Diceros bicornis minor: one gene and its partners. The protein of the gene in region 4 purifies or fractionates together with the protein of the main gene of each other region. This does not show direct contact. Links are inferred from orthologs where the notes say so. Each region holds a gene or a part of one and is shown on either strand. Other genes may lie near its edges.

Region 1 (7,564 bases), on a different chromosome or scaffold from region 4:
TAGTCAGTGCAGATGTAAAACATTAGCGTCATCACAGAAACCTCTCTCAGACAGCACTGCTCTAGGAATTACAGAAGATTGATGGATAAAAGAAGCCCCTGACATGCAAATTATTCGAAGCAAAATGGAACTGGTGGGGGCCCACCCAGTGGCGCAAGCGGTTAAGTGCGCACGCTCCGCTGCTGGCGGCCCGGGGTTCCCCGGTTCAGATCCCCAGCACGCACTGATGCACTGCTTGTTAGGCCATGCTGTGGCGGCGTCCCACATAAAGTGGAGGAAGACGCACATAGATGTTAGCTCAGGGCCAGTCTTCCTCAGCAAAAAGAGGAGGATTGGCATCAGATGTTAGTTCAGGGCTGATCTTCCTCACAAAAAAAAAAAAAAAATGGAACAATGGTAATTCACTGACAGTTCTCCATGCAAGATTTACTTAAAAACCTCAGAGTTGAACTTCAAAATGATGAAACTAAGGAAATGGAGAGTGAACTTGTTCTGTTAAGTATGTACCATTTGTTGGTGACTAAAGGAACTGGAGAGGAACAAAACATTCTCTGCCTTTCAGAAGCATTTGGTCTCAGAGCGCAGTGGGGATGTACATATAAACAACAAACTTCATTCAAGGCTGAATCCAGGAAGTGCTGGAGCAAAGTTATCAGAAAAGTGATTGAGGATTCGGGATGGTTTTACAGAGGTGGTGGTGTTTAGCCTGGGTCTCAAAAGATGAGCATGTGTTCCACAGGCTGAGAGGGGACAGAGTAGTCCAGATAGAGGGAACACCATGAGCAAAGGCACAAGGACAGGAAGTTATGAGTTCAGTAATGCTGGTAAATAGTTTGGTGTGGTTCAGGCATGGCTGCATAGAGGAAAAAATTATGGATGAGGGAAGACTTCTGGAGTATAATGCCAAAGAAATATGTAGGCTTTGAAGAAACCCTTTTTGTTTTTTTTGGAGGAAGGGGAGTGTGTGAGGCTGTCAGCTCTCAAAAGCCTGGTTGGAGGGGCAAATGTGTACAGGCAGGGATGTTAACGAGGAGGTCACTGACCGAGTCCAGTCAAGAGGTAGCTAAGGCCAGAACTTGTGAAATGGAGATACAGGGGTGGATATGCAGAAAATCAGAAACAGAAACAAAAAAGATCAGTAAGATTACGCAACTAAAGACACATGAGAGGTGAGTGAGACGGGGCAAAGAAACCACCAAGTTTCTGGCTTGGGTGGATAGGAAGAGTGTGGCTATGCTCCACGAAAAGCCCCAGTTGAAAACTTGAGGTAACAAGACTGCTCCTCTGTCAGCTCCAAGAAGGGATTGCTGGGAAACAGTGATGTGACTGACGTTGTGAGGTGCCAGACCCAGGACCTACAATCAGGATGGATGGTGGGCTGATATGGCAATTCTCACCACTTATTCCTCCTTCCTCCCTAAGCCTACGGCTTACTTCTTTGTCCCGTGGATACAGACATAACAGATAACGACGGAAAGAACAGATATAACCTTTCAACTCCGTAGAGATGAAACATCCCCCAATTTAAATAAGCAAATGTAAAATAAGTATGTGGCTCTGGTCCCAGAGCTGGAGCCTCGGAAGGAACTCCTGGAGCCTGGAGTGATTACACAGACACTGAGAGATCATACGACAAGACTGGGAAAAGAGGTCAAGCTTAGGAAACAATTCAGGTAGCCTCCTGAATATCTGAGTGTTTCTGAATATTTGGATGCTTTTCTTTTAAAACCAAATGCTCCCATCATTACCTGCACATTTGGTCTGTTTCTTTTAGTTGCACCTTCAAATGCCAAGTAAGACAAAGAAGCAGGCTCACTCCCTCCAACATCAACTTTGAATGTATCTCCAGATTTAGCTGTCACTATGCCAATCACATGGTCTCCTTTCACTGGGACATACTACAAAAGAAAACAGAACAAGAGAACAACCATAATGACAATCATTTCCAAGAGATCTTGGAAGATGTCTTCAGCAAGTCCTTAGTGATTATTTTATTATGTTTGTCATTAGAGATATTCCAAAAATATTTTGAAATCCAAGTTCATAAATTAATACAAATCTTACAACAAACTTGATCATACGCCATTTTCAACAAAAGAAAAACAATCACGTCATAAGCGCTCAGCTTTACAGCTTCAAACGGTCCGTATCCCATACCTCTTCAGTAACCTTATCAGGAAGGGCCCAGCCGCCACTTGCACATTAAGTCCAGTGACACAAGGCGTCCTCACAACCAAGGAAGGCCACTTCATTGTTACACAATTTTTCCTATATGAAAGTTCTCACTTATTTTAAGAGAAATTTAACTCCCTGTGACATCCACTCAGTGAGACTGGTTCTGCCCTCCGAGACCCCAAAAGATAAGCCAGGTGCCCCGACCTGTGGGATTTTGCAGACAATGACCATGTCTCACAGTCCTTATCCCGTTATACGCCAAGATTCCCAAACTCCTCTCTCTCCGGGTTGCCCTTCTCGGGCCACGTTCCCGCTGTTCACGGTCCCTCCACAGGAGATGCAGAGGTGGGCACAAGACGACGGGGCTCTAGGCCAGCCTTAACAGAGGTGGGCTCCAGGGCCGCCTCGCTGTCTCTTCCGAGAAGTCTTCCCAGAGCGGGGAGACCACCCGCACGGCCGTACCACCCCTCCGGAGCCCCAACTCACCCGTTTCTGCTGCGAGTCCACCCAGTACACGCCGCTGCCGCCGCCGCCGCCGCCGCCACCGGGCTCCTTGTGACGGAGGCGGCCGCACTTGGTGACCAGCAGGCGGTCGCCACAGCGCCGCAAGCCCGGGCCGCACACGACGCGCACCCGGGCGCGCGCCCCGGCATTCAGGCGCAGCGGCCGCTCCCCGGCGCTTCCCGGGCCGTCCGCGTCCTCCTGCTCCGGCAGCAGCAGCTCCTCACCCGGGAGCACCACCTGATCCAGCACGGCGCGCGCCGCCCGCGCCCGGCCACCCGCAGGGCACTCGGCCGCCACGGCCGCCGCCTCCGCCATACCGGACGCCACCACACACTTTCCGGCTTCCGCTTCCGCTCCGCGTCCAATCGCCAGCCCGCCCCAGCCCTTCCGTTTCCGGCAGTTGCGGTCTGTTGGACTTGAACCAACTACGTCTAAGAAGCCTGGCCGCGGCGGGCCGGTGGGCCCGCCGAGGAGGCCATGATTGTGTCTCAGCCGGCCGCCTGTCCTGCAGTCTGTCCGCGGGTCGCTCCGAGAAACACGCAGCTGGAGTCGATCGCAGAGCCTGCACTTGCCGTGCTCGGTCGCACAGTGGGATACCAGACGCTCTCACCTGTGGGTCCGTGGGAACCTTGGGAACTGAGCGGAGGGGGCCCTTCCTTCCGACTCCGCCCTCAAGGAAACGTATTTCTCTTCTTCAAAATAAAACCTTTTTGGTTGTTGCTAGAGAAGATATCTATTCACATTGTGGAAAACAGAATAATAAAAGAAAATAAAACGCATTAGTCTTCTCCCGTTTGTCTCCCTTGCTAGGCTGTCAGCGAGTTATTCTATGTAGCCCAGGGTCTGGCACCAAACAGGTAATTCCTGAAGGATGAGTGGATGTTAACATTTTGGTATGCATTTCTCCCTAGACTTTTTTTTCCCTGCAAACACACACATCACATGCGCATTTCCGCATAACTGAGCTACCCTACATGGCCCGGGAAAACTGAGTGCAGTTCAGTCCTTGCTGCTGCCTGCCCTGGAGCACACTTTAGTTGCCCGGGTGAGAAGCTGCCGAATTCCAGGTCCCCAGCACACAGCCAATCCTTGACTTTCAGGGCTCTTACTTGAAATCAGTTTCCTCTGTCAACTGGCACCTCCAACTGGCGTTTGGTCAGATCCCCCAGAGGGGTGAGAGCTCCTGGGGACTGGAGGGCCTGGCTCTGCCCATCTCTTTGAGGCATCTGCTCCCAACGTGAATTTTTAGATTTTTAGGATGTTTAAGACAGACCATCTCTAACATACCGTCCAAATTTGGAAAGATGCTGGCGAGCCAACTGAATGAGAGAATATTAAGAGGCCAACTGAAATGTAGCTTTTGTTTTGCAGTCAGATGGTTGTAGGAACTGCTCTTTGTCGGTTATCCTGGCAGGCGGAACTGTGTACATTCTTTGTCTCTCCTCCCCACTCCAACCCAGCTGTAGAAGGCCTGGAACCAGTAGGTATCGGGTGATCGCGGCTGGCCCAAGGCCATGCCCAGGGCGCTCAGTGACCTGGAGTGTGACCAGGCAGAGAGGGAGGTCGAGAAATGATCCCTGGGTTGTCCCTCACGCACCCCACGTCGGCAGAGGAGTCTGGAAAAAGAGACTTTCGGTCCAAATCTGGCTGAGGAGGCCTATCAAGTCCACCTCCCGGTGGGGGCGGCACGTGGGCATCGTGCGCCTCATTCCCAAGTCAACAGAAGGAACTAGAAGCCGAGAGTAGGGCAGTCGCTGGAGACCGGAAGCTCGGCGGGAGGGGCGGGTCGTCAGCCCCGCGCGGGGTCGCCGTCCCCGACACGCCTGGAGAGGCGGTCGGGCCTCCGCGCCGCGTGCCTTCGCGTGGGTGCGTCGCCGCCCCGGCGCCCCGCGGCCGCTGGTGAGCGGGAGCGCGCGGCCCGGCTGAGGCCGGCGGGCGGGCCGGGAGACGCGGAGGGCCCCCCGCGTGCCGGCCGGGGGAAGCCCGGCTCCGAGCCGCGGCCGGCCTTAGGGTCCGGTTGGGGCGCGGTTACGAAGTTCGCGTCCGAACGCGGACGGGCTGGAGCGCCGCGGGTGTGAAAGGGCCGGTGGAGATGGGCGCGCGGAGGCGGCCGTGCCGGGGTTCGGCGGCGCGCCTTCCTCGCGGCCGCGCGGGGGCTCCCGGCGGGGCGGCCGGGGGCTGAGGCCCACTCCTGATCCGGGCCGACTCTACCCTAGCGTAAGACAGTCTGGGGGCTTGCCGGGTGGGAGCCCGCGCAGGAGGCGCGGCGCTGCCCTCGACCGCCTCTGGCGCACACCTCCCGTTTCTCAGTATTTCCCTCGGGGGAAGGACCAGCTTTCCCTTCGGAAAGGTTGGACCGGACCCCGGCCTTCGGACTCTCTCCCCAAACTTCCTCTTTAGAAACCTTTGCTACTTGAGAAGGTGGAAAAGTGGCATCTCACGGTTGCTTTTCTTTATTGAGTAATGAAGTTGGACGGGTTTGTTTCCTTTCAATCGACGACACTAGTTGAGCATTTGCTCCGAGCCAGGAATTGAGCTGGGCAATCAGTTGAATCATGGTCCCTGCCCTACTGTCTCCGCATGAAGATACCAAGTGTTACGGTGGGTGCACCAATCTGATGAGGGTGTCAGCCCCGACTACAGAGGATGAAATGGTTCACTGTATGTGGGAGGAAGGTTGGAGTCAAGATAGGTGTCCCAAAGGAGGTAATATTTGAGTGAACCTTTAAAATTTTTTAGTTCACTGGTTTCTAACAGTTACAAATGAACTACATGCTGATTTGTATACAGAAATTAATAGTAAAAGAGTCCATAGAAGTGTTAATATCTTTATTCAAGTAAAGAATTTAAACGCAAATGCTCACAGTTACCACTGCACAAGTGAGAGTCTACTTGCTACAGATATTTTTAGTCACAAGTAATCATGGCTAATAAGAATTAGAGCTCGCACCCGAGGAAGAGCACCCTGCTGGCCAGGACCGATTGAGACCTTGTTGGAGAGGACAGGGCCACGGCTTGTTAAAGGGTGGGAGTCACTGGGAATCTGTGCCAGTGGAACTTGCTGGCACTTCTAGGGCGCTGGGGAAAGCTATTCCTGGGGAGGTGTCTCCTGGAAGGCTCTATTACAAAACTGCCTGATAGGGTGCTGGGGAAAACTGCTGGCTGCTGGGTGTTTCTGGGCACCAAGCAAAGCCTGAGAAGCTGCCATGCTGCAGGCGCATACCAGAGAGCACAATGGAGCCAGGAAGCAAAACCCATTCCTCCTGCAATGCCTCTGCAGGGCCTTCTACCTACAAAGATTGTCTTCATGAGAGACAGCAAAGGAAAGATATCTTAAAGGACCAGATCCATTTTCTCAGAGCAGGCAGTAAAGGGTGAGTTTAGAGCTGAGCAGCAATACATTGATAACTGGTCCAAGGTCTCATGAGGTTGTAAAGTCAACAAACTCATCAGTAACAGCAGTAAAGTGGAGTCTACTCAGGCCCAGATGGCTTCACTGATGAATTCTACCAAACATTTAAAGAATTAATACCCATTCTTCACAAACTCTTCCAAAAAAACAGAAGAGGAGGGTACACATCCCAACTCATTCTATGAGGTCATTATTGCCCTGATATCAAAACCAAAGATATCACAGGAAAAGGAAACTACAGATCAATATCTCTCATGCATATAAGACACAAAAATCCGCAACAAAATACTAGCAAGCTAAATCGCAACATATAAAAAGGATTATACAGTATGACCAAATGGGATTTTAATGCATCTGAAATCAATTAATATAATACACCATATCAATAGAATAAAGGACAAAAACCACATTATTATCTCAATAGATGCAGAAAAAGCATTTGAAAACGTCCAACACTGTGTCATGATAAAAACACTCAATAAACTAGCATTAGAAAGGAACCTCCTTAACCTAATAAAGGGCATCTATGAAAAACCCACAGCTAACATCATACTTAATGGTGAAAGACTGAAAGCTTTTTCCCTAAGATGAGGAACAAGACAAGGAAGTCTGCCCTCTCCACTTTATTCAACATTGTACTGGAGGGTCTATCACAGGCAGTTGGGATAGAAATGAAAAAGAAATGAAAGGTATCCAGATTGGAAAGGAAAAAGTAAAACTATCTCTAGTTGCAGGTGAAATGGTCTGGTATATAGAAAATCCTAAAGAATCCATAAAAAAAAAAAAAACTTTAGTTTAGAACTAACAAACAAGTTCAGCAAGGATGCCAGATTCAAGAACAATATACAGAAATCAATTGCATTTCTATACACTTGAAATGAACAACCAAAAAATGAAATTAAGACAACAGTTCCATTTACAATAGCATCAAAGAGAGTAAAACTTTTGGAAATAAATTTAACAAAAGAGATGCCAAACTTAAACTCTGGAAACTACAAAACATTGAAAGAAATTGAAGATCTAAATAATGGAAAAGGTACCTCATATTCATGGATCAGAAGATTTACTATGTTAAGATAATAATACTGCCTAAATTGATATACAGATTCAGTCAAAATCCCTACTGTCTTCATTGCAAAAATTGACAAATTTATCGTAAAATTCACATGGAAATTCAAAGGACCCAAAAGAGCCAAAAAAAATCCTGAAAAGGAACAAAGTTGGAGGACTTACACTTCTGATTTCAAATCTTACTTCCTACTTACAGTAATCAAGATAGTGTAGTACTGGCATAAGGATAGACATAGATCAATGGAATAGAATTGAGAATATAGAAGTAAACCATCACATTTGTGGTCAACTGATTTTTGACAGGGGTGCCAAGACAATTCAATGGGGAAGGAAAAATCGTTCAACAAATGTTGTTGGGACAACTGAATATCTACATGCAAACGAATGATGTTGGACCCCTCT
Region 2 (7,678 bases), on a different chromosome or scaffold from region 4:
TGCTCTTTAACCAGATTTTCATTAGGCTGTTTCCTTCCCCTAGTTAAGGTTCCAGCTCAAAGGACACCTGTATGCAGAAGTCTTCCCTGACCACCCCTGCCACTTTTACTCTCTAGCACACTCCTCCAACTGACTGTCTTCAAAGCACTGTACCTGCTTCACTCCCTGAGACTCTAAGCTCCTTCAGGGTAAGACACTGTGTAGCCAACTACCTGGCACATAGCTGGCACAAATTAATACATATTTTATTATAAATTAATGAATCAAACAATTTAAAACTAAAAACCCACAAAGAACATAAATATGTTTACATAAATGTATTTATTCATTCAACAAATACTACCATGGACAATTAGAGACATTTAGGGTACAACAGTGAGTGACAGGTACATTCCCAGATCCCTACAAACCTAAAATGTAACCAGGAACACAGAAGAGAAAACGGGCAATTACAAAACCACACGACAAGTGCCTGACATGAGAGATACAGAGCTACTGGGAACACACATATGAACAACAAAAATAGAATGGGGAGTGAGGTGGCTAGGGAAAAACTCCCGGGAATATAATATTTAAAACAATCCCAAAGGATGGCTAGCTAATTTCTGAGGGTATTCATGCAGCAGGAACAGCATATTCAAAGGCGGAGACCAAATGTATACAGCAAAGAAAAATTAGCTAAATACCACTATTGGATAAAAGTGTGTAACATCCAATAAATTATTAGATCACAATCCCAATTTAATAACAATTTATTAGCAAATAAGCCATTCACAAAAAATATTTTTAGATATTAATGACAAAATCTTTTTTACTAGGTCAGTTTTTCAATACTGAAATTGACCCTAAAAGCGCTACACTATAAAAAGATGAAGAGAATTCTTTCCTAGGATTTTTGTAAAGTGGTTCTTTTCCCCGACAAAAATTCTGGAGTATTTACTGCATGTGAAGCATCGGAGTAAATATCAACATAAAGCATAGACCTTGCCTTCCTGGCACTTTTACACCAGTAGCTGAGGTACTCACGTGAAGTACTACCCAAGTTACAGAGAAGGACAGTGCGCGAGTTAAACAGAGGAACCAATCGGTTTTGGAGCACAAACTCTCTCTAATCAGTTATATGACTTTTGAGAATTTTTAAATTATTATTCTCAGAGTACAAGCGCAAGCTTAACTGGGAAGAAAAGAAAGAAACTGGACTCTTAAAGTAAGTATAACTTTTATTCGCAGGAAAAGGGGATGGACCTCTTATGCTACAAGGAACAGCTTGGTTATGATGTCATCAATTGTTCCAAAGACACATGACACCACGACAACCTGACCTGGGGTTGCCAAGAAGAGAAGATATGTAGCACTCACTCCCTCAGGCCAAGCACCTCTTCTCCAGGAAGCTTTCCTTCACATAGAAGGCCTGCTTAAACTCCCCCAACCCACTCTGAATAAGTGGCTCCCATAGCACTGTGTGAGTCCTTTCTGCAGCATCTCATACTCTAATCATCTCCCTCTTAAGATTCCCTCAAACATCTTACCATCGGTCCCCAAGCTTGGAACAGTACTCTAAGCACTCAGTTAATGAAGAATAAGCACTCAATTAATGTTGGTTGAGGAAATGATAAATATTTATTTAAAAAATGAATAAGTAGTAATTAGGCCTATTCACGTTTTTTGTATCATACGTGCAAAAATATGTCGTGGGCTAAAGTCATTTCTCAGGTAATAACCGTCACATGCAATACTTACCTCCACTGCAATACTTAGGGCGGCCTGCATTCTGAAGTGAACACCAGGAACCTAACGTGTGCCAGGATGACTGGGTCCCAGGCTCGAAACGTAGCACAGGGTGTTAGCTACCCTCGAGGGTGAGAGCACACTGATGTTCTAGAATAATCTGCTGGGAGTGTCAATAATAACCACCAACATATTAAGCACACTACATGCTCTGCACTTTACAAAGCAATAGGTCTTCACTCCTCTGCTGCACTCATTCATATACGTTTATAATTTTAGTTTGTATGATGCTTGGTGATGCCTATAATTATCCACTGCATAGAGATGCTATGCTTGTCCTAAACATTCTAACTCCTTGTAAACGCCTAGAGAACATTCATATACATGTTTTTTCCTTTTATTTCATTTTTTAAAATCAGTAAGTCCTTTTCAAAGCCCCCTTCTAGTACCGCTTTTTTTTTCCATTTCAAAATACATTTACTTTGAGAATCATCAACCAAGAACTGAGTATACCCCTCAGATCATCTGATCGACTTATTCCTTGGGCCTTTTTAATATCTATCTTTTCTACCGTCTCCTAAGTTTCCAATTTAACTTGAAATTCACAGAACGTAAGTTAATCAGTTAGATGAAGCCAGGTTCTGCACTAAACGTGTGAACAAACACAAAAGACTGACACGTAGCTCTAACAGGCACAGCAGAACAGATGAATGCAACCTTTAAGACACCCCGTGTTTTACAAACAAGGAACATATGGCACTTCTGAAATGGGGGTCGGGGAGGAGGAGCTCGACGCAGGCGGCGCGCCCCGACCCGGGAGGGCAGGGGAGGCAGGAGGTGACGACGCTTACGTGCAGGAGTCCCCGGGGCCGACCTCCCACACGTCGTCCCGCACGCCGCCGGGCAGCGCGGCCCCCGCCCCAAACAGGACCGATCCCCGAGGGCAGAATCACCGCCCAAACAATGCCACCGCCGGCATCGGGGTCCCGCCGTTTCCTCCAGCCGAGCCTCCTCTGACTCCTGGCCCCTCCGACGGGACGCTCCCAGAGCCCAGGGGATGCCAACGGGCAGGGAGCCCGGCCGGGACGGCGACAGTGACCTCCCCGCATGACCCTGCCACCTACCTTCGTCGTAGTTATAGCCTCGGACATTCCGATGCCGGGCCATGGCGGCGGAGAGGGCGTTCGCCACAGCCCCTGACGAAACACCCGCTCAGACACGGACAAGGCGCCAACTGCGGCCTGGAGAACACCGATACGCCATCTTGGCTTCCGGCAGGCCTCTGCGCCGAGCGCCTGCGCACGCGCGACGTCTTACCTGCGCACGCGCGACGGCAACCTCTAGGGGTCACCCGCCTCCCCCGGGACGCATGCGCACTCACGCGCACGGAGATTGCGTTTCGGCGTGGCCCCGCCCACAGACTGCGTGACTGACAGGAGTTTCAAAGGGGCGGAATTGCACCGCCCACAATTTGTTGTTTTGGAGCAAATTTACGAGCCGGATCCTTTGATCTATGCCCGTGTTCCAGATTATTTTCCGAGTTTAGTTTCTGATAATGTAGTGAAAAAGCTGACTGTGTGCTGAATAAGAGCAGGGACCTTGTCTCATCCAACTTACTTTCGTCTTTGAGGTCTGCTTAGGGACGTAAGCATTAACTAACTTGTGTACATTTGTTTTAAGAATCAGTCCAAGCGTTAGAGAGGAAGAAAGGACCCTTTTTAAGTGGGTATATATGGTTAAATTGAGAATCTGGCTGCAGTAGGTCACCGTGCTTTCGTGTGATTCTTAGTTGCACGTATGTGCTCCTCTTGCACTAATGCCTCCAGTAAACGACCATCTGCCCTTGGCCGTGTAAACGGTTAGCAGCAGCAGCATGAAGAAGGATTCATTGAGCCTTCTGAACACACGATCATGTGTAACATAATAAGAGTATTAAATATAGCTTTTTGGACACAGTACTGGCCTTGGATGGTAGTGATGAACGTTGATGAATAAATCTATAACCGACTATTAAATGTCCTCACTTCTTAGAACACAAAGTGAATGATGCCATGTAAAAAACCAACCTCATTATCATACTAAACAAAGTATATTTCAGTTTTAGGTTGTGTTTTTGAAATGGTGATAACTTTACATCAAAGGCAAATCTCAAATTCTAGAAATGAATTAAAAGCTTAATCAGCTTTCTATTATCCATAATAGAAAGAAATGAGAATAATACACATTCAATTCATATCTTTGTTTTGAAATGTAATTTATGCATGCATTTGATTGTCTGACTACCGAATGTTTGTTCTTATCTTTGCTATTTAATGTATCTCCAAGACAAAATTTTACACAAAAATAGATAGTTGCTAATTTTACATTGCTTATGTGTTTTCTTTATTATACGGTTTCAGATAATTTTTATGTTGCAGCCTATTTCTTTGTCTGTAAAGTGGAGACAGTAATAGTATCTAACTCATGAAGTTGTGAATAATAAATTAATTTATCCACGTAAGAGGATTTCACACAGATCTTAGTACGTGCTTTAAAATATTAGATGTTATAAAAATACAAATGGCAGCTTCCAGCCCACTGTGACTGCCAATTACAAGCTTCAGTATAACTCAATGAGGTGTGAAGTGGATGAGTTATAAATTGACTACATAAACAAAGTACTATAGGAGCAATGAGGAAGAAAACATTACTTCTGCCTGAGGGATAGTATATAATTTGCCTCTGGGTCATCAGTAATGCATTCCCTTAAAATTCTAAATACTTGGGAGCCCTGATTGCATCTCAAGCAAGAAGGCCTCAATAGCAAAGCCTTCGCTGACTTCCTCAGCAAGTGTTAGGGATCTTATCCTCTGCCCCAGAGCTCTTCAGATGTGGCTATAAGTTTTGTACCATGGTTTGATGGAAAGACCATGACTTTGGAATCACACAAAGCAGTTCTGCTGCTTTCAGTTTGTGAATGTCTTTGGGCTCAATTTCTTCATCTGTAAAATGGATATAAAAAGACATGTCTTCTGTTTTGTGAAAAGTAAATGAAGTGATGGATGTAAAAACAGTAGCTGTTACATAACAGGTACCATAAGGGAGGAAAAATTCTCTACCCTCTTTGAGTCTCCAACTGGGTCCAAGAATTAAACTGACACAAGACAGTTTAACAGGAGAAAAAAAATATAACTGTAATAAATTTTTACTCATATATGGGAGACTTCACAAGAGAATGAAGACCCAAAGAAGAGACCAGAGCCAAAATCTCTTATACCTTTCAGACAAAGAAACAATCAATTTGTGAAGAATTGACTAGACGATGGGGTTTGGGCTATGAGTAGTAAATTGTGGGGAAGTGACTAGGAGATATGGGGGGTGGGGAGAGGGCGGCAAAAAAAGTGGAATATAAGCGTTATTTCAGAAAATTTGTACAGATCCATTTCAGCATCAATTCCCAGTCTCTGATGATCAGGATGCTCTCTCCTCCTGGTACAGGGAAGGGCACCTTTCTCAGGGGAAATTTTGTGGCCTGTTTTAGATAGAAAGGGGAGGTCAGAGAGTCCTTCCTGAATCTGCTGTTTCTCAAGTTCCTCCAGCTCAGAATAATCAATGTGATATTTGAGGTGACATGCTCTGAACTCCTTCAGTACTCAATAAATGCTAGTTGTCTACCCCACTAATTGGAAAGCTTTATCTTTGTTTCTCCAGCCTTCTGTCTGGCACTTTGAATGTTTGCTGAATGAATTAATGAATTAAAAAAGATAATATAGCCTCTTGCTATGAGATATTTAACAAATGCCATAAAAAATTATACAAATAATTTTTACATCAATTTGTAAAAAAATTATAAATGAAAGTAGCATAACTACATTACTGAAAAGTTTTAACACCTTTATGGAGGAATCATTGACTCCACATATCTAAAGTATATAGTTTGATATGTTTTGATGTATTCACCAGTGATACCATCAGCCCAATCGAGATTATGAACGTATCCAGATTCCCGAAAGTTTCCTCAAGTACCTTTATAATCTCTTCCTCCTGCCCCTTGCTATCTCCTCATCCTGGCCCCAGGCAGCAACTGATCACCTTTCTGTCACTATAGATTAGTTTGTATTTTCTAAAATTTTATAGCAAGGAAATCATATAATGTGTGTTCTTTTTTATCTGGCGTCATTCACTCAGCATAATGATTTTGATATTCATATGTGCAGGGGCTTGAGTCAATAGTTCATTCCTTTTTATTGCAGAGGAGAATTCCATTGTGGGAATATAACCACAATTTGTTTTTCCATTCACCTATTGATAAGATATTTGGGTTGTTTTTAATTTTGGCTTCTACAAATAAGGTTGCTATGATTACTCATGTACAACTCTTTGTATAGACGTAAACTTTGATTTCTTTTGGGTAAGTACCTAGGAGTGGGATGGCCAGATGATATGATGGCTTATCTTTAGCTTTTTAAGAAACTACCAAATTGTTTTCCAAAGTGGTTGTAACATTTTGTGTTCCTGCCATCAGTGTAGTTCCATCTTTTCCACATCCTCACCATCACCTGGTGTGGTCTAAAGATACTGTGCTTGTTTGATGTTTCTGTATCCTCTTTGGTGAAGTGTCTGAATCTTTTTGTCACTTTTTAATGGGGTGTCTTTTCTTATTTTTTACTTTGTATCCTGAATACAATTTCTTTGTCTGATATATAATTTGGAAATATTTCTCCCAGTTTGTAACTGGTCTTTTTGTTTTCTTAATAGCAGAAGTTTTTATTTTTCATGAAGTCCAGTTTATCAATTTTTTTTATAATGGATTGTGCTATTGATTTTATAGCTAAGAAATCTTTGCCTAACCCAAGGTCACAAAAATTTTCTCCCATTTTTTAAGTAAATTTTACAGTATTGGGCTTCACGTTTAGATTTATGATCCATTTTAAGTTGATTTTTGTATATGGCATATGGTTTGGATCAAAGTTCATTTTTTACATCTGTATATTCAATTGTTCCAGCACCATTGTTGAAAAGAAGGTCGTTTCCCCACTGAATTGCATCTGCATCTTTAGAAAAAATCAGTTGTCCATACGTGTGTGATGTATTTCTGGACTCTCCATTCTGTTCCATTGATCTACTGCTCTATTGATCTAGCTTGACACCAATACTTTGCTGTCATGATTGTTGTAACTTCATAAATCTTAAAATTAGGTAGTGTTAATCCTCCAACTTGTTCTTTTTTTCAAAGTTCTTTTAGCTGTTTACGTCCTTGGCATTTCCATTTGAATTTTAAAGTGAGGTTATTAGATATTCCTGCTAGGAGTATCAACAAATATTCCTGCTAGGAGTTTGACTAGTATTTTGTTGAATCTGTAGATCATTTAGGGGAAAACTGACACTTCAACATTGCTACAAACATGTAATCTTTCAACATATGCACATCATATGTCTCTCCGTTTATATGGGTCTTTAATTGCTCTCAATAATGCTTTCTAGTTTTCAGTGATGGGCTTGAACAACTTTTGGAGATTTAATTCTAATTATTCCATATTTTTTTTTACTCTATTGTAAATATTTTTTAAAATGTCAAGGTAAAAGTATATAATTAAACTATTAAAATTAATGTGTTAACTAGTACCATCAACACAAAAAATTGTACTTATATATATAATAGGAACAAACAGTAGGGAAATAAAAATTAAAAGTAATTAGCTTTGTTAGTATAAAAAATATCATCAAATACCCAAGATAAATAAGGAAAGATTTATAAGGCCTAAACTGAAATTAGAAAACACTACCAAGAGAAATAAAGACAATCACATTAAGTGAAGAGATATTCCATGTTCATGGACTGAAAGAGTCACTATTATTGTGTTAAATGAAGAGATGGCAATTCTTCCCAATTAATCTATATTCGATGTTATCTTAGTCAAACCCTAGGAGTTTTTTGGTAAAAATTGACAGTCAGATTCTGTAATTTAAA
Region 3 (7,749 bases), on a different chromosome or scaffold from region 4:
CCCACACTCACCTCTTGGTGAGCTCATCCAACCTAATGGCTTTAAATACCACTCATGACTGTACAGTTCCCCTGAATTCCAGACGGCAGTGAACCACTGGCTACCCAACATCTCCATTTATGTGACTAAGACACATTTTCAAATGAAATAAACCTAAAACAAAGCTTTCCAGCAGCTCCCCGCCCTCCTCCACTGCAAACTGATCCTCTCCCAGTCATCACCATCTCAGTGAACGGCAACTCCATCCCTCCAGCTGCTCAAGCCAAAAACCTTGGAGTTCTTGGAGGAACCCTTGATTTCTCTCTCTCTCTCATGCTCCAGGACAAGTCCAGCAGCAGATCCTAGTGGCTCTACTTTCACCAGAAAATAAAAGGCATCCAAATCGGAAAGGAAGAAGTACAACTCTTTCTACTCATAAACATGGTCCTATATATAGAAAATCCCAAAGAATACAAAATCAAACACCCTTTTATAATAAAAACTCAGAACACAAAAGATATGCAGAATTAATCGCTATTCCCCACTTCTACTGCTACCACCTTAGTCCAAGCCACCATCACTTCAGATGATGAAAACAGTCCCCTAATCTGTCTCCCTGAGCCTGCGCCTGTCCCTCTTCAATCCCCCCACAGCAGCCAGAGTGATTTTCTTAAAACAGAAGTCAGATCATGCCCCTCTTCTGCTCCAGCCCCTCCGGTGGCTTCCCAGATTATACAAAGTGGATGTCAAAATGCTTATCATGGCTCCAAGGCAGGCCGACTGCCCACCTCAGCTCTCTGCCTGCATCTGCTCCTACTCTCCCCCTCACTCACTCTGTTCTGACCCCACTGGCTTCCTTTCTCGGGCTAACCTTTATTGAGTCCTTTTAGGTAGGAGGCCCAGTGCTAAGTACTTTACATGCACCTTTCCAATGAATTCTAATGAAAATCCTATAAGGTAGGTCATGATATTATCCTCATTTTGCAGAGGAGGGAACAAAGGTTTGGAGAGGTCACATAATGTGGGGAAACCTTTGAAGCCTGCACTTTCTACAGTCACCTATACATGTTCCAAATCGCAGACCTACAGAATGAGAAGGCAGACGGGGGTGGGGGTGGGAGGTGTGGTGTGGCAGAAAAAACCTGGTTGTGCGATATGGATGCCACAAGACAGAGAATACACACCTTTTGTTCTCACCTGGTTTTCAAAGCTTTCACACAGATCAACTTGTTCACTCTCTCCACAGATCCAGCCACAGACGCAATGAGCTTCTCTTCCCCCATGTAAGTCCCATGGCCGCTGTTGCAAGAGGAAGATACAAAGGATATCAGGGTAACACTTGAGATGACTTCTCCCGTCAAGAACAATGTATTCCTCAAACCTAACAGGCTCCTCCTGCCTTAAAGCCTAACTTTTGTGCTGGTTGCTCCCTCTGCCTACAACACTCCTTCTCTAGAGAGCTACAGGGACATCTCCCTCATCTTACTCAAGTCTACTCACATGTCACTTTCGCCATTAGGCCTTCCTCGACTACCCCATTTAAAATAGTCACCCACCCTGCTGCTACCACCCCCATCACATTCCCAACCACATTCCACTTACCCTGCTCGACTTTTAATTTTTTGCACTGCATTTAGCACCAAACATTCTGAATAATTCATTTGTTTGTGCTTATTGTTTATCATCTGTCTCTCCCTGTTAAACTCCACCAGGACAGAGACTCCCACTTTGTTCACTGTTGCACCCTAACCACACACAACATAAATATATGTTGAATGCATGAATGAAGAACTGAATCTTAGGATTTCCTAGGATCCAAGGGCCAGCCCGGTGGCGCAAGCGGTTCAGTGCGTGCACTCCGCTGTGGCGGCCCAGGGTTTGCAGGTTCGGATCCCAGGCGCGCACCAACGCACCGCTTGGCAAGCCATGCTGTGGCGGCGTCCCATATAAAGTGGAGGAAGATGGACATGGATGTTAGCCCACGGCCAGTCTTCCTCAGCAAAAAGAGGAGGATTGGCAGATGTTAGCTCAGGGCTGATCTTCCTCAAAAAAAAAAAAAGATTTCCTAGGATCTAGTAACCTCAAACCAAAAGGTTAAAGGGCAATGCTGTAAATGCAGTAGCCCTCCTACATGTACATGTGTACCCCCCACAAAAAAGGCTGAAATAACACTTGTGTTTATCTACGATGGTGATATGATGGTGAGTTTTGCTTCTTTTCTTAATTATTACCTCATTTAATCCTCATGACCCTATCAAATAGTTACTGTTCTTATCATTTTCTTCCAGACAAGGAAACTGACCTGGGAGAGGTAATACAGCTAATAACAGGTGACAGCAGGTCTGGAACCCCAACTGTCCGACGCAGAGCTGCCCTCTTAACTACAACATATTGTACTGCTTTCAGATTTAAAGTTGTCTGTTTGGGTGCATGGAGCACAATATATTTTTGCCCTAAACCCAAACATTACTGATTCCAAAACCGAGCACCCGGCTAGGAGATGACGCCGAGAGGACAGGAGGTCGAGTCAGGAAAGCCCACCGTCCCCTCAGATAGCTGAAAACTATTAAGAGGCCCTGCCCCTAACCCTCCCCGGTTTCCAGGTCTCCAACGAGGAAGGCTCAGAGAAATGGACCTCAGGCAGAGGACCCAGGAGTCACGGCCACCAGAGATCAGGAGAGGACGGTTTCAGGAGGCCGATGGGGATACACAAGATGCAGGGACTAGAAGCCCGAGACCCGGAAACGAGGCAACTGGGATGCTCAGATGTGCCCTGGGTCCCGCAGGGCCTTAGACGCAAGGGGACAGCGGCCCGGGTTTCGGCCAGCAGGCCACGTGCAGAGAGTCCTGCAGCCGCCCCTTGTGGCCCCGCGTCCCCAAGTTCCCACGTACCGCATGAAGCCCGTGTCCGTGGTGATCGTGTCCCCCGGCACCACCAGGTGTTTCTTACTCTCGCGGCCCAGGCTCTCGCTAAGAGGCTTCCGAGCCACAGGCAGCCTCATCTCCATCGCCATCTTGGCGCCAAAGACTCGCGCAGGCGCAGCCAGGCCGCAGCCGCGAGATCCGGCCCTGCAATTCCCGGCCGTCTCAGGGAGGGGCGCGCGGGGCGGGGCCTCAGAGCAGCCGCCAATGGGAACTCACGGTCTGGCGGCCATGCTGACTATTGTCAACCATTAGGTTAACATGAAGGGAAGAAGGGAGCCGAGTTGCCATTTTTACTATTGGCAAGGCTGCACGTGTGGAATAAAATCTCGGGTTGTATACCGTTTGACTTTTTACCAAAACTCTCTGGTACTCATCATTCCATTTATTGCTTACCAGGGTTAGAGATAATTGAGAAATGGACCTCTGAGTTTCCTTCCAACTCTAAGCTGCTAAAATCTGATGTTTTTGTATGAGAGAGCTCAGAACGATCAGGAGGTGGGATCTACAGAAAACGCTATTTGGACAGAAAGAAGAGGCCTTTTTCTTACTGTTCCTAGTAGCCCCAGTATACTACGTAACAGCCGCCCCGTGGGTGCTGGTTCCTTCTTTCATAATGACTTCTTTGGAGTGAGGTGATTTACCCTAACATTTCTTTTGAAAAAACAAGAAACCTTTAAACGTTACAAGGCAGGTATATTTGGTAGGGAAGACAAGTGCACAGATAGTACAAAGATCCTGGCTTATATTTCCTTCACTTATATATTACTTACATACTGGGAATTCAGCGCTTGCTGTGTGCCAGGCTCAGTTTTGAGGATACAGCGTGGACAGAGAGATGTATATGTGGTTTTTTTTCTCGGTGTCCTGTTTAACATAGGAGCATTTCTGTCGTCTCATCTCCCCGCCTCCCACTAGCCTCTCCCTCACCCTTGTCCTGCATGGTTTGTAGTATTCACAACAAACTGAGTTTCAACCTCAGGAAATTGGAAATGATAATTCTTTATGCACGAGGACCCTAAAGAGGATTAAATGAAATAAGATGCATCAGCCCCACATGCTGTGTTCAGTAAATCAGGCCTGCTGCCTCCATCAGACCAATTGTTTGATAAATCTCCAAATTGAGTGAATTTCTTTCACCTAAGCAAGGCTTACTACTACACTTGTCAAGAAATCCAACCCGTGCGGCAGTCGATGATATAAATTCTAGAGCTCCATAGGTCATCCCGTCAGTGGGCAGACCAAACACTTGCCCTCTTCCCTGCCTGCAGCAAGATCCTAGAGCCAAGAAAGTGTGAGAAGGGTCCATCTGTTGAGTCCAGCCTCGGCCATAAGAGGGCAGTGGTGTCCTTTGAGCCAGCATAGCCCAGTCAGCTAGGGAGCTGGGCCTAGGAGTGCTCCTAGACCGAGTGGGGTGTAGTCTTGACATCATCCAGTCTCATCCCAAGAGGGATGGACGTAACCTTAGCCTCTCCCATTCTCACAGCACTCACGTTTACAAGCCTGTCACAACGTTGAGATTATGGATGCTCTCTTAGTGTGGTAGCAGATTCAGTGTCTGGCCAGAGCTCATTCCCTGGTTCACAGACCACTGTCTTCTCACTGGGTCCTCACATGGTGGGAGGAGTGAGGGAGCTCTCTGGGGTCTCTTTTATAAGGGCACTAATCCCATTCATGAAGGCTCCCTTTCATGACCTAATCACCTCCCAAAGCCCCCACCTCCTAATACCATCACCTTAGGGGTTAGGATTTCAACATATGAATTTGGGGGGACATAAACATTCAGTCCATTGCAGATATCTTTTTATAGAGGAGGAAATCGAGGCCCTCAAGGACTGGAATTCACACAGCACTTGGTGGCAGGGCCAGTGTTCCTTCCGACTGCACCTGCTGTACCCCAGACCCTGCACCCTTGCCTACACACTTCCGGGGGGCCTGGTACTTTGCTGAGTGCTTTACAAACATTGTTGTAGTTATCCCTCACACTCGGCCCATCTTGGAGGTAGGCATTGGTATTCCTGACAATCATTTGGGGCCACCGAGTCCCAACAACAGACCTGCAGCTGGGACTAGAACCCAAGACTGCAGAGCCCCCTCTGGTGCTCCTGTCTCTGCATCGCACTTGCCTCTTCACACCCCGGAGACAAGCAGCCACCCGGAAACAGAGTGCACATCCCAGAGGGGCTTGTTAGAAACAGATTCCTGAGCCCAGACTTAGCCGTTGAGGTTCTACAAAGGTGGGGTCCCAGAAGTCTCTGAGTGTGTGTTTTAACTCCGTGAGTGATTTTAATGGCCAGTCGGGTCTCACATTCATGGATTCCCCCACATCCATCTACCTCCCCATCGGTGCATCTCCAGGGCCACACTCCAAGCCGATCAACGTCATCCCTTACCTGGGTATCACCTAGTAGCTCGTCTCCCTAATTCTACATTTGCCTCCTACCATCCAATCTCCATATAGCAGCCAGAGGGAGCTTTAAAAAACAGATCAGATTAAACCATTTCCTTGCTTAGAACATTCTGGCAGCTTCCCTTTACACTAAGAATAAAATCCAAACTCATCATTGTGGCCCTGTCCATCTCTGACCTCACTTGCCTCCTAACCACTCCCTTACTCACTATGCTGCAGCCAGATGCGCTGGTCTCTTCTGAGTTCCGCATGCAAAGCTTGTCACCACCCCCAGGATCACTGCGCTTTTGGCGAGCTCTGCATGGAATTCTCTTCCCCCAGGTCTTTGTGTGGCTGGCTGCTTCTCCTCACTCAGATCTCAGCTCAAATATCACCTCCTCAGAGAAGCCTTCCCTGACCACCTGATCTGGAATAACTCTCAGTCCCTTTTTTATCACTTGATCCTGTTTTACTTCTTGTCACTGAATTTTCTTGTTTGCTCGTTTTTCGCAGTCTTTCTCCACGAGAACGTGAGTGCTCTCAGAACAGGGACTTTATCTGTTTTGTTCAGTGTGCATCAGTGCTGAGAACTGAGTCTGGCATATAGAGGGCAGCCATACAGTATTTGTTGAAAAGATAAGATAGATTTACAAAATATGTATTTGCTTGTTTGTTTGCTCCATCTGTCTCCCCCGAGGGATATGAACCCCGCAAATGCCCAGACCTTGTCTGTTTTGTTCACAGCCCAGTCCTAGGACTGTCTGGATACATAGCAGGCCCTTGTCTTAACCACGTCCTCTATTTTCTGTGATCTGATGCTTGGATATCTTAGACTTTGCTGATCCTGAAAGGACTGCTTCTCCCAGGGTTAGCTAGTTCCTAGATAGTTAACAACTGGCCCAGGAGTGTGCTTTTCATGTGCAAACTACCCAGCCCAGAGCACACACCCCCAACCACCTCCTTTATGGGGCTCTCACACCCCGGGCCACTATCCACCTGCCCTCATCACCCCAGGGCCAGGTACCAGACAACTAGGGACAGCCCCTATGCCTCAGAGCTCATTGAAATTATTCAAACTAGCCAATCCTAAGCCTGCTCACCCTGCCTCACCCATTCCTTCCTGTGGAAACCACAATAAAGGCTTCTTCCCACATTCTGTCCTTGCTCCCTCTGCCTCCTGATCAAGCCCAGTGCTTCCCCATGTGTCCCTGCAGGGTGTGCTGTGCGTCCTGTTTCTAGCGAATCGTGAACATAACAAACTTCTCCTTTTGTAGCAGTCATTTCCATGTTTGCATGTCTTACCATCCCTGATGAAAACAAATCCCAGGTACCCTTGGAACAGCACCCAATAAATATTTGTTGAATGAATGAATGAACTTATTCAATAAGCGTCTGCAGTTGAACAACAGCACCACTGTGTGCTGTGGGGGCCACAGAGCTGCATCACTGGCTGCCCAGCCATCAAGGGGCTCAGTCAGGAGTTCAGGGATGGGGCGTGGGGGAGGAAAGAAAAGCCCCCCGGACAGAAGTGGTATTTGAGTGAGCCTTGAGGTGAAGGAAGTGTCCACACTGGGCAGTTGGATGGAGGGAGACAGAGGAACTCCAAGTCAAGGTGACTGTCAACTTATGCTACATCTTTTTTTTTTTTTTTGAGAGGACGATCAGCCCTGAGCTAACATCCGTGCTAATCCTCCTCTTTTTGCTGAGGAAGACTGGCTCTGAGCTAACATCTATTGCCAATCCTCCTCCTTTTTTTCCCCCAAAGCCCCAGTAGATAGTTGTATGTCATAGTTGCACATCTTTCCAGTTGCTGTATGTGGGACGCGGCCTCAGCATGGCCGGAGAAGCAGTGCGTCGGTGCGCGCCTGGGATCCAAACCGGGGCCGCCAGTAGTGGAGCGCGCGCACTTAACCGCTAAGCCATGGGGCCGGCCCAAAGTATCAATTTAAAAAGCCAATTCGCCTGTTATTTTATTCTCAAAACAAGTTTATTCGGGAATAGCCAAAAGAACTGCAATTCGGGATGTGCATGCTACAGGGAACCACGGGCAAATCCAGAGAACAAAGGAGGGGAGCTGCTTTTATAGAGAAATAGGGGGAGTCAGGAGGGACTGTTCTAAAGGAAAGTCTATTGGGGGAAAGTAACAGTTCTAGGCAGCAACGGCTTCTCATTGGCTGGGCTGTTGCCAGGTGGGGAGAGAAATCTTCCTTCAGTAGTAAAGTAGTTGTACTTCCTGTAGGAGATGAGAGCCTCCATCTCTTCCTGTTGGGGTGTAATTGACATGTATGATAGGGCATGAGAGTGCCTCCTACAGGCCTTCCCAACTCCAATTTAGTTAAGGTTTCTTTTCTTTTCTTTTTTGTGAGGAAGATCAGCCCTGAGCTAACATCCATACAAATCCTCCTCTTTTTTTGCTGAGGAAGAACGGCCCTGAGCTAACATCTATTGCCAATCCTCCT
Region 4 (7,617 bases):
AGCAGAAGCACCCTCCTGCCAACCGCCCCCCCCCCAAAATCAATGAAACAGTGCCCCTTAGTGGTAGAAGGACAAAATTACTGGTAGGTCAACAGTATAGCAAAAATCTTGCTGAGATATGAATTGGTAAGTACGAAATAATTTCTCTCTAAAAAATTAGAAAGGGTTAAGCAGAACGTTTTAGAGTAATCATTGCAAAGTGGATTATGGGGATTCACAGGGTGTTTAGAAAGCCAAAAGGGAGCCATTGTATCTGCTGGGAAAAGTGAAAATCAAGGATTAACAGCCTTTAACATATAGGAAATTAAATTATCCCTAATACAAGTAGCAGAGGAATCTCAGCAGCCGTTTGTCCTCCAATGACTCTTCCACTGAGGTGGAGCACAAATGAAAGTAAGCGGATTCTTCAGAGAAATGGGATAATTTTAGATACTTACATGACCCTTTAGAATCATTGACTGGTTAATACCAATACTCAGCACCATCTGTCCTGCTAGCTGTCTTTTATAGTGGAAATCACCAAGGCTCATGGAAGTTAGGAAAGTAGTAGGGTCAATATTTGACTGTCATTGTTTCCAATTCCCTAAACCTAAAATAACTGGGGTCATCCTAGCTCCATCATATAGAATGTACCGCATGCTGTAACTCTTGCTGTTCTCTAGCTGAAAGGTGGCATGGCTATGTCATTACTGCCTGGGCTCTGTAGCCAAAACCATACATTGAGTGTGTGGCCTACTCAGTCCTTTCTTACTTCAGTTTCCTGCCTGTAAAATGGAGTTGGTAACAGCATCACAGTCAAGGCATTGTTTTGAGGATTAAATGAGAAAACACAGAAAAGTGCTTAGAGCAGTGAGTGGCACCTAGTAAAAGTTTGAGAAACATTAACTGTAATTAGCTGATACTACATAGATTGACAAGTTCTTCAAAAAGTTGCAAACTTTGGATTATATTTAAAGCCTTCTAGGATGCATACCAGCTCTCAACAACAGTAAATGACTTGGGAGGAGTAGACTTCAGATGCAAACTGAGCTTCAATGTTTTTACTTGGCACAATTCAGTATTGTTGGAATGTGTTGCAACAAGCATGTTGTACTATTGTAATTTTAAGTAAATAAATAGTGACAGAATATTTCAAAGCTTGCTTCAGTAATCCACTCTAGCCCTTGCAGTTCACCTTCCAGAATTTCTTTTATACATTTAACCTCCCTGTCATCTTAGCCCTTTGTAAAGATGCCCCACCCTCTCTAGGCTAACCTTTTGATGAGACCTTTTGATTTTAATCCAGTGGTTGCTGATGTCTGCACTCCCAGAGTGCATCTGCAAAAAGAGATGCAGCAAATGCTACAAACTCCTGCAGTGTAAGCACGCTGGTGCTCAGCCTGAAGAAGACTGCAGTCATGCACCAGGGAAACCGAGCCACAATCAGAGATTTCCATCTTCAACACAGGGCTGAAAGCTGTCACAGCATTCTGCTATCTGAGCACCAGGCTGCCCATCTGCACTTGGATTGACAAGGAAAGGGAAAACTGAAAAGAGAAGCAAGCTGCCAAGCATCCCTCCCAGTGTGGCACTGCTGTGGCACCATAGCCCAGACCAAACTAGAGCACCGAATACCACTGCTGCTCTCCCACCTCCTAGAGCACTGTACAATTTAGAACTGCTGTAGAATCCTCAAGCAGCTTCATCACGACATTTAATAACTAGAGAGGGGTTTTGAAACAAATAGGCACCCCTTCAGCAAGTTTCTTAATCTCCCTTGTACAGTGGGGATGTATTGATTAAGGTAATGCTAGCTGCTAAAACAAAAGTTTATTTCCCCCTTACAAGAGTCCCCTGTGGATGCTCCTGGTTGGGGGAGGCAGGGCTCTGCTCTGCACAGTCCGTCTGGGACCCAAGTTGATTGGGGGAGGGGGCGTGCTGTCTTCAGTGCTGCCTTCCAAGAGCCCCTGGGCTTTGGCATCCAGCCAGTGGAACAGGAAAGAGGAGTGCTCACGGGAGGTTTTTATGGGCCAGGCCTGGAAATGGTACGATTACATTCTGTGGCCACACCCATCTATGTGCAAAGGGAGGCTGGGAAATGTGATTCATCTATGTGCCCAGAGAAAAAGAGGACATGGATTCAGTGATCAGAGAGCCAGTCTCTGGCACAAGAAATGACATATTTACCTTGAGGGACTGTGATGAGGATTAAAGATGATGCGGTGATGTATGCTTGGCTCATTGGGGCTATTGGGGAGGGGGCCGAGGATGTAAAGAGGTGAGCAGTAGAATGCCCAAGCAGGGACTGGATAGCGGGCTGAGCTGGAGTAGTCACAGGTACAAGGGTGATGGCAGAGCAGACCCACTTAGGGCTAAGGGGTTTGAGTTGGGAGCATTCAGGTAGACACAAATGCTGCTCATCAAAGGGTTTCGGCACTGTGCCTTCAGGCTATGAGGTAGAAATGCACTTCCTGCCCCCGTCTGCCACCTCCCCACTCCCTACTCTCTCTCTCTCTCTTTCTCTCTCTCTCATCCCTCTATCCCCATTGGATGTGTGGTCATGTGACTAGTTCCGGCCAACAGGCAGAAGTGACATGTACCACTTCTGGACTGAGCTTTTAATTGCTCGCGTAAGGCTGTCTAGAGGGCTCTTTGCCCTCTGCCAATGAACAGCAAACAGTATCGCAGAGACAACTGGCTCCGTCACCCTGGGTCCTGGAGAAGCACAACACAAAACGGAGCCTCTAGGCACCCAGGCAACATCTTGTTGTTTTAAGGCACTGGGATTTTTGAAGTTGTATATTACTGCAGCATAACCTAGTTTATTCTGATTGATATAGAAACCTTTTTTTCAGGCAAGAGGCATCAGATGGTCTGTGAACAAACAAACCAACAGAAAGGCATTCTTGTCCATTTTAGATCATCACTTCCAAGAACTAAGGGATCATGCTTTTAAGAACATAATTTGTACATTATTGCCTCAATGCAAGCAAAGGAAGTGCTTGATGGGCCTTGGATTATTTTAAATACTGATAAAATCAACTTTCAATAGAGCCCTAGACACACTCTCTTCCTTAAAAGATCATTAGTCCCAATTTAGAGAAAGATTAAAGCTACCAAATGCTAAAGAGAAATGTTAAGGACATATAATCAGAAGTAAAAGAAAAATGAAAATGGATGAGCTTTGGACGGAATTGTGGGCAGCTGTCTGAAGCACTTCTATGTAGGGCACAAATTTGGCTACTTTCCCTTCCTCTGGGATCTCTAGAACTGACCTCCTCAATTAGGGAGGCCTCCTGCACTGCCGGTTGCCTTGTGGGCCCTCCTAACGCTCTGGCCTGTGGACCAGCACTGTAATGTTTTCCTAACTTGTGCAATTCCGTCTGGGATCTCACTCATATCATCCCACACTACAGATAACCTGACCAAAAATACTCCGTCCATGACTTTGTAATATGAGACCATGACTTTGTAATATGTTCCTCTAGAGTAAAGGAAGTGATCCACCAGGAGACCCTAGTTTTGCTAACTTCAGGGTAAGAGGAAGCTTTGATGTTCCCAGTCAGCTGGTAGAGCTGCCTTAACCAGAGCTCAACAAGTAGACTATAAACTCCTTAGATACAAGAGCTATATTTTATTCATCTAACAGCCCAGTAATTAGTTAAGAGCCTGCTTTGGATTCAGCCAGATTCTGGCTTGAATATTGATTCCACCACTTAATAACTGGGTAACCCTGGCCACTTAACCTCCCTAATCCAGTGTCATCATCTGTAAAATGGGGATAATAATGTCTAACTCCATTGACTTGTAGAAATTAAATGGGGCACTTGTATGTAAAGCTTCTGGTGCAGCTCAAAAGTCTTTGCTGAGTGCTTTGAAGAACAGTGGCTTCTATCCAACCCAAAGTGTGTGATCTCAGAAGAAACTGTATGAGTCTCCATCAACTTTAAAGGAGAATTCCTTTGCCAGAAGCTGCAAATGCTATAAAGTTGGGGTTGAATGGATAGTGTTTACCTCAAGGGAAGGGACTGGTTTTCATTTTATCTGCATTATTTGAATTTTTGTATGGATTAAAAATACATGGAATTAAAAATAAATACAACGTATTTAAGGGAAAAAAAATGTTGTGTTGGCAGGGTTGCTGGCTTATTTACTGAATCTTTTGGCTCCTTCAGGGACAGCAAGAGCAACCAACAGAAAACACTAATAATTACCCATATTAGAACAACAGCCCCGTTCCCATATGGACCTGGGGGTAGAAACAAAGTATAATAATCCTTTATAGTTGCACCAAATCTTCTTTCCCAAGACTTTACACTAGCTTCCATATATTATCTTTATCTCCCATAGGTCTTTGGGGTGGTTTCCATCCCTCCCTGCCCCCAAGCAACTGTAGGAGGGGAGAAACTGAGGCAGGTTGGGGGAGAGGGCCTCCTCCTGCTCTCAACCCCGGGACCCAGGCGGTTACCGCCGTTTCAGCCCCCCGCTCCCCCGGAGCGCCCAGGCAGCTGGCAGGAGGGCCGGGCCCGGCCGGAGCCGCGCGTAGACCAGGCCGGCCAGGCCCAGGGGGCGGGCCCGGAGCCTCGGCCTCGCCTGCGCCGGCGCCGCGCCGCGCCCGCCGCTTCCCGGCCGCTCGCTCGGGGCGGCCTCTCGGGGCCCGGAGCTCTGCCGGGCGAGCGCCGCCACCATGCTGCAGAAGCGGGAGAAAGTGCTGCTCCTGAGGACCTTCCAGGGCCGGACGCTGCGGATCGTGCGGGAGCATTACCTGCGGCCCAGCGTGCCCTGCAACAGCCCGCTCTGCCCGCAGCCCGCCGCCTGCCGCAACGGTCAGGGGCCCGGCGGGAGCCAGGGCGGCCGGGCGGGAGCGAGGGGGGCCGGGCGGGAGCGAGGGGAGCCGAGGCGGGAGTGAGGGGAGCGGAGGGCGGCCGGGCGGGAGCGAGGGGGGCCGAGGCCGGGCGGGAGCGAGGGGAGCGGAGGGCGGCGGGGCCGGGGCCGAGCGCCCGCCGTGAGGAGGAAGGGCACGGCCTGGAGGCGGAGCGCGAGGCCGCGGAGGCGCCCGCCCGCAGGCATTACCTCCGGCCCGACTGCGGGTCAGGAGCGAGGGGCCGGCGGCTTCAGAGCCGCAGAGACGCCCCTCGTCCGCTGCTTCTGGGCTCCCCACACGGGACTCCCCGACTGCTCCGCTCCATAACATGGAAGGGCCGGGAGACGGACGCCCCCCTAGCCCCGAGGCCCGGTGATTTGCCTTCCGAGGGGCTTGTGGGCTCAGGAACCTGCCCCCTCTTGCGCCCCAGGACCGTGTGGTGGTGACTGGGGAGTTCCTGAGCTGTTGGCCCCGCAGTGAGAGGCGGGGCGCGAGCCGGCGGCGTCATTTTACGTTGCTTTGCTCCGCACAAATATTCTGACCTGCCGGCACCGATGCCTCAGACGTTTATCCAGTGGACACCCTCTTCACTGCAGGATTTGTGAATAATCTGGGCCCTCGTTGTACAGGAAGGTCGTGGGGAAGTTAGATTTGGGACTGCTGTGCATTAGACCTTCCCTACTTGGTTTCTAGGCTGCAGGGTGACCAGTTTATCGAGGAAGATTACTGGTTCTCTTCCCTCTGGTGGGAGATGAGCGTGGGGGTCCTTTTCAGCGAATATTTGGAATCCTCAGCTTATGTTAAGGTGAACGTTTTAGTTACAGCTTGGCTAACCAGCTCTCTGAGACACGGGCAGGGTGGAAACGCTACCGCTGCCCTTGCTTGCACTGAGCATCTTTTCTGGTCAATTCAGTCTTTTTGGTCTTTGGAGACTCCTGAGCATGTTCACCAACTTGAGACAGAGACTTGAAATAGCTGGGCGAAACAAGTGGTTAACATGTATATTTTGGGGTGCCCCATTTGAATGTGCGTATGTCAGTGAGTTAACGCAGAAATATTCAGGTTGTTCTGAAGATTTGCTTGTTTGTTTTAAAAAATCAGTCATCTCCTTCTTCCCTGGCAACACCGTAAACAACATTGAGCTTTTATTTATCGCAGCTTCGGAAAAATGACGGTGCTGAATCTACCTGAACTTTGTGCCTCTACCAAAGTAGATTTATCTTGTCTTTAAAAAACTTCACCGTGTAGTAAGATTGGAAGTGATTTTGCACACTAGGGCACCATAACGTTGAAATAATCCAGGTTTGCAAATGTTGTCTAATCTCTTACGTTTTGAATTATGCTTCAGATGGGAAACTCTTGTCTAGTGATGTGACTCATTACGTGATCCCAGATTGGAAAATTGTTCAAGATTACCTGGAGATCCTTGAGTTTCCTGAATTAAAGGGAATTATTTTCATGCAAACGGCTTGTCAAGCTGTGCAGCATCAAAGAGGCCGGAGGTATCTGGTTTTCATTATTTATTTATTTATTTATGGCATAGATTTTTGTTTCCCCCTTAGAAAAAGCCCCTTGTTGGATGGAGAGGGGAGGAATTCATTACTTTGTCAGAAGAGACTTTTTGAACTAATTTGGTATTCTCTTTGCTAGTGAGGAATGCAGTAACATTATTTTATATTTCTGCTTCAACACCTGGCCAAAAGATCTGACTGTAGATCAATAAACTGCAGTGTCCCCAGTATGTGGGTATTTAAGATTCTTGGCTTTTGGTTTGCATTTTTATAGTAGCCGAGTTATTGCTGATTTCTTGTTGATAACGCATTTTACGTAATCTTATTTATAGACATATTGTTTCAGAAGCTTACTTTTTTTTCCCTTGGGAAAAAGAGTACTTTATTTTTAAATTTTAGACTCCTTTATTGTGGATGCAAATTGTACTTGTAGTGATTTAGTCATTGAAACCAGAATTAACTTGTTTTATTTTTAGATTACCAGTATAACTACCAACCATAGTAGTTGTATTTGCTAAACAAAAGATTTCTGATTGAAATGAGTCTAAAATGCTTGCCTTGTGCCTAAATGAATAACAGTTGTTCACCTTTTAAACAAGTACAGTCGCCCCTCGGTATCAGTGGGGGATTGGTTCCAGGACCACGGAACCAATCCAAACTGTGGATCAAAAACATAGTACCTACATGTAAAATCCGCGGTTGGTTGAATCCGCGGATGCGGAACCTGCGGATACGGAGGGCCGACTGTACTCTAAAAAATGGTTCTGCTTCATTTAACATTGGGAAAGATTTATGATTTGAACTTAAAGACTGTATGAAAACAGCATATTAGAATTATATATTCAACCTCTTAACACCCCAGGTTATTTAAACAACAGAAACTATGTGTTCATTCTTTTTTAAATGTTGTGGTTTTTTAAGGTAGCAAAAGATGAAGTATGTTTATTTGTATATGAAAATGATAAGTTGTCCTTATTATGTGCTCAGTTCAAAAAAATGTGCGTTTTTCTAGATTGTGTGCAGGTTTTTCAGGTAGAATATTTTTAAATGAGCTTGAAGTTGATTTTGTTCAGACACAAAGATATAGATGTTTATACACATCCAGGTTTAAATGCTGCTCCAAATGTCGTATTTCAATTTCTGCTACTAAAATCAATTTGTTGTTATCATTCTGATTGCTAACACACTGCCGAGCCTTTTCAACTTCTGTTTTCTAAAATATTTTTAATATTAAGGAGTGTTTTAAAAGCCAGTTCCTGGGAC

Evidence for each region.
Region 1: the proteins of DIS3L (region 4) and EXOSC3 purify together in Homo sapiens (affinity purification with mass spectrometry; 6 studies listed by BioGRID and IntAct, counting the BioPlex papers as one, with this or other methods). This does not show direct contact. The link is inferred for Diceros bicornis minor from reciprocal best matches to the Homo sapiens genes DIS3L and EXOSC3.
Region 2: the proteins of DIS3L (region 4) and HBS1L purify together in Homo sapiens (affinity purification with mass spectrometry; 5 studies listed by BioGRID and IntAct, with this or other methods). This does not show direct contact. The link is inferred for Diceros bicornis minor from reciprocal best matches to the Homo sapiens genes DIS3L and HBS1L.
Region 3: the proteins of DIS3L (region 4) and EXOSC2 purify together in Homo sapiens (affinity purification with mass spectrometry; 5 studies listed by BioGRID and IntAct, with this or other methods). This does not show direct contact. The link is inferred for Diceros bicornis minor from reciprocal best matches to the Homo sapiens genes DIS3L and EXOSC2.

What each region holds. Positions count from the first base shown.
Region 1 is NC_080767.1:6,211,816-6,219,379, reverse strand, and holds the start of EXOSC3 (exosome complex component RRP40), read right to left. Parts: upstream 3,010-7,564; 5' UTR 2,995-3,009; coding exon 2,662-2,994; intron 1,899-2,661; coding exon 1,749-1,898; intron 1-1,748. UniProt on the Homo sapiens protein: Non-catalytic component of the RNA exosome complex which has 3'->5' exoribonuclease activity and participates in a multitude of cellular RNA processing and degradation events.
Region 2 is NC_080762.1:3,272,911-3,280,588, reverse strand, and holds the start of HBS1L (HBS1-like protein), read right to left. Parts: upstream 3,012-7,678; 5' UTR 2,896-3,011; coding exon 2,853-2,895; intron 1-2,852. UniProt on the Homo sapiens protein: GTPase component of the Pelota-HBS1L complex, a complex that recognizes stalled ribosomes and triggers the No-Go Decay (NGD) pathway.
Region 3 is NC_080767.1:38,101,050-38,108,798, reverse strand, and holds the start of EXOSC2 (exosome complex component RRP4), read right to left. Parts: upstream 3,013-7,749; 5' UTR 2,994-3,012; coding exon 2,872-2,993; intron 1,279-2,871; coding exon 1,177-1,278; intron 1-1,176. UniProt on the Homo sapiens protein: Non-catalytic component of the RNA exosome complex which has 3'->5' exoribonuclease activity and participates in a multitude of cellular RNA processing and degradation events.
Region 4 is NC_080744.1:60,497,974-60,505,590, forward strand, and holds the start of DIS3L (DIS3-like exonuclease 1), read left to right. Parts: upstream 1-4,610; 5' UTR 4,611-4,666; coding exon 4,667-4,805; intron 4,806-6,191; coding exon 6,192-6,345; intron 6,346-7,617. UniProt on the Homo sapiens protein: Catalytic component of the RNA exosome complex which has 3'->5' exoribonuclease activity and participates in a multitude of cellular RNA processing and degradation events.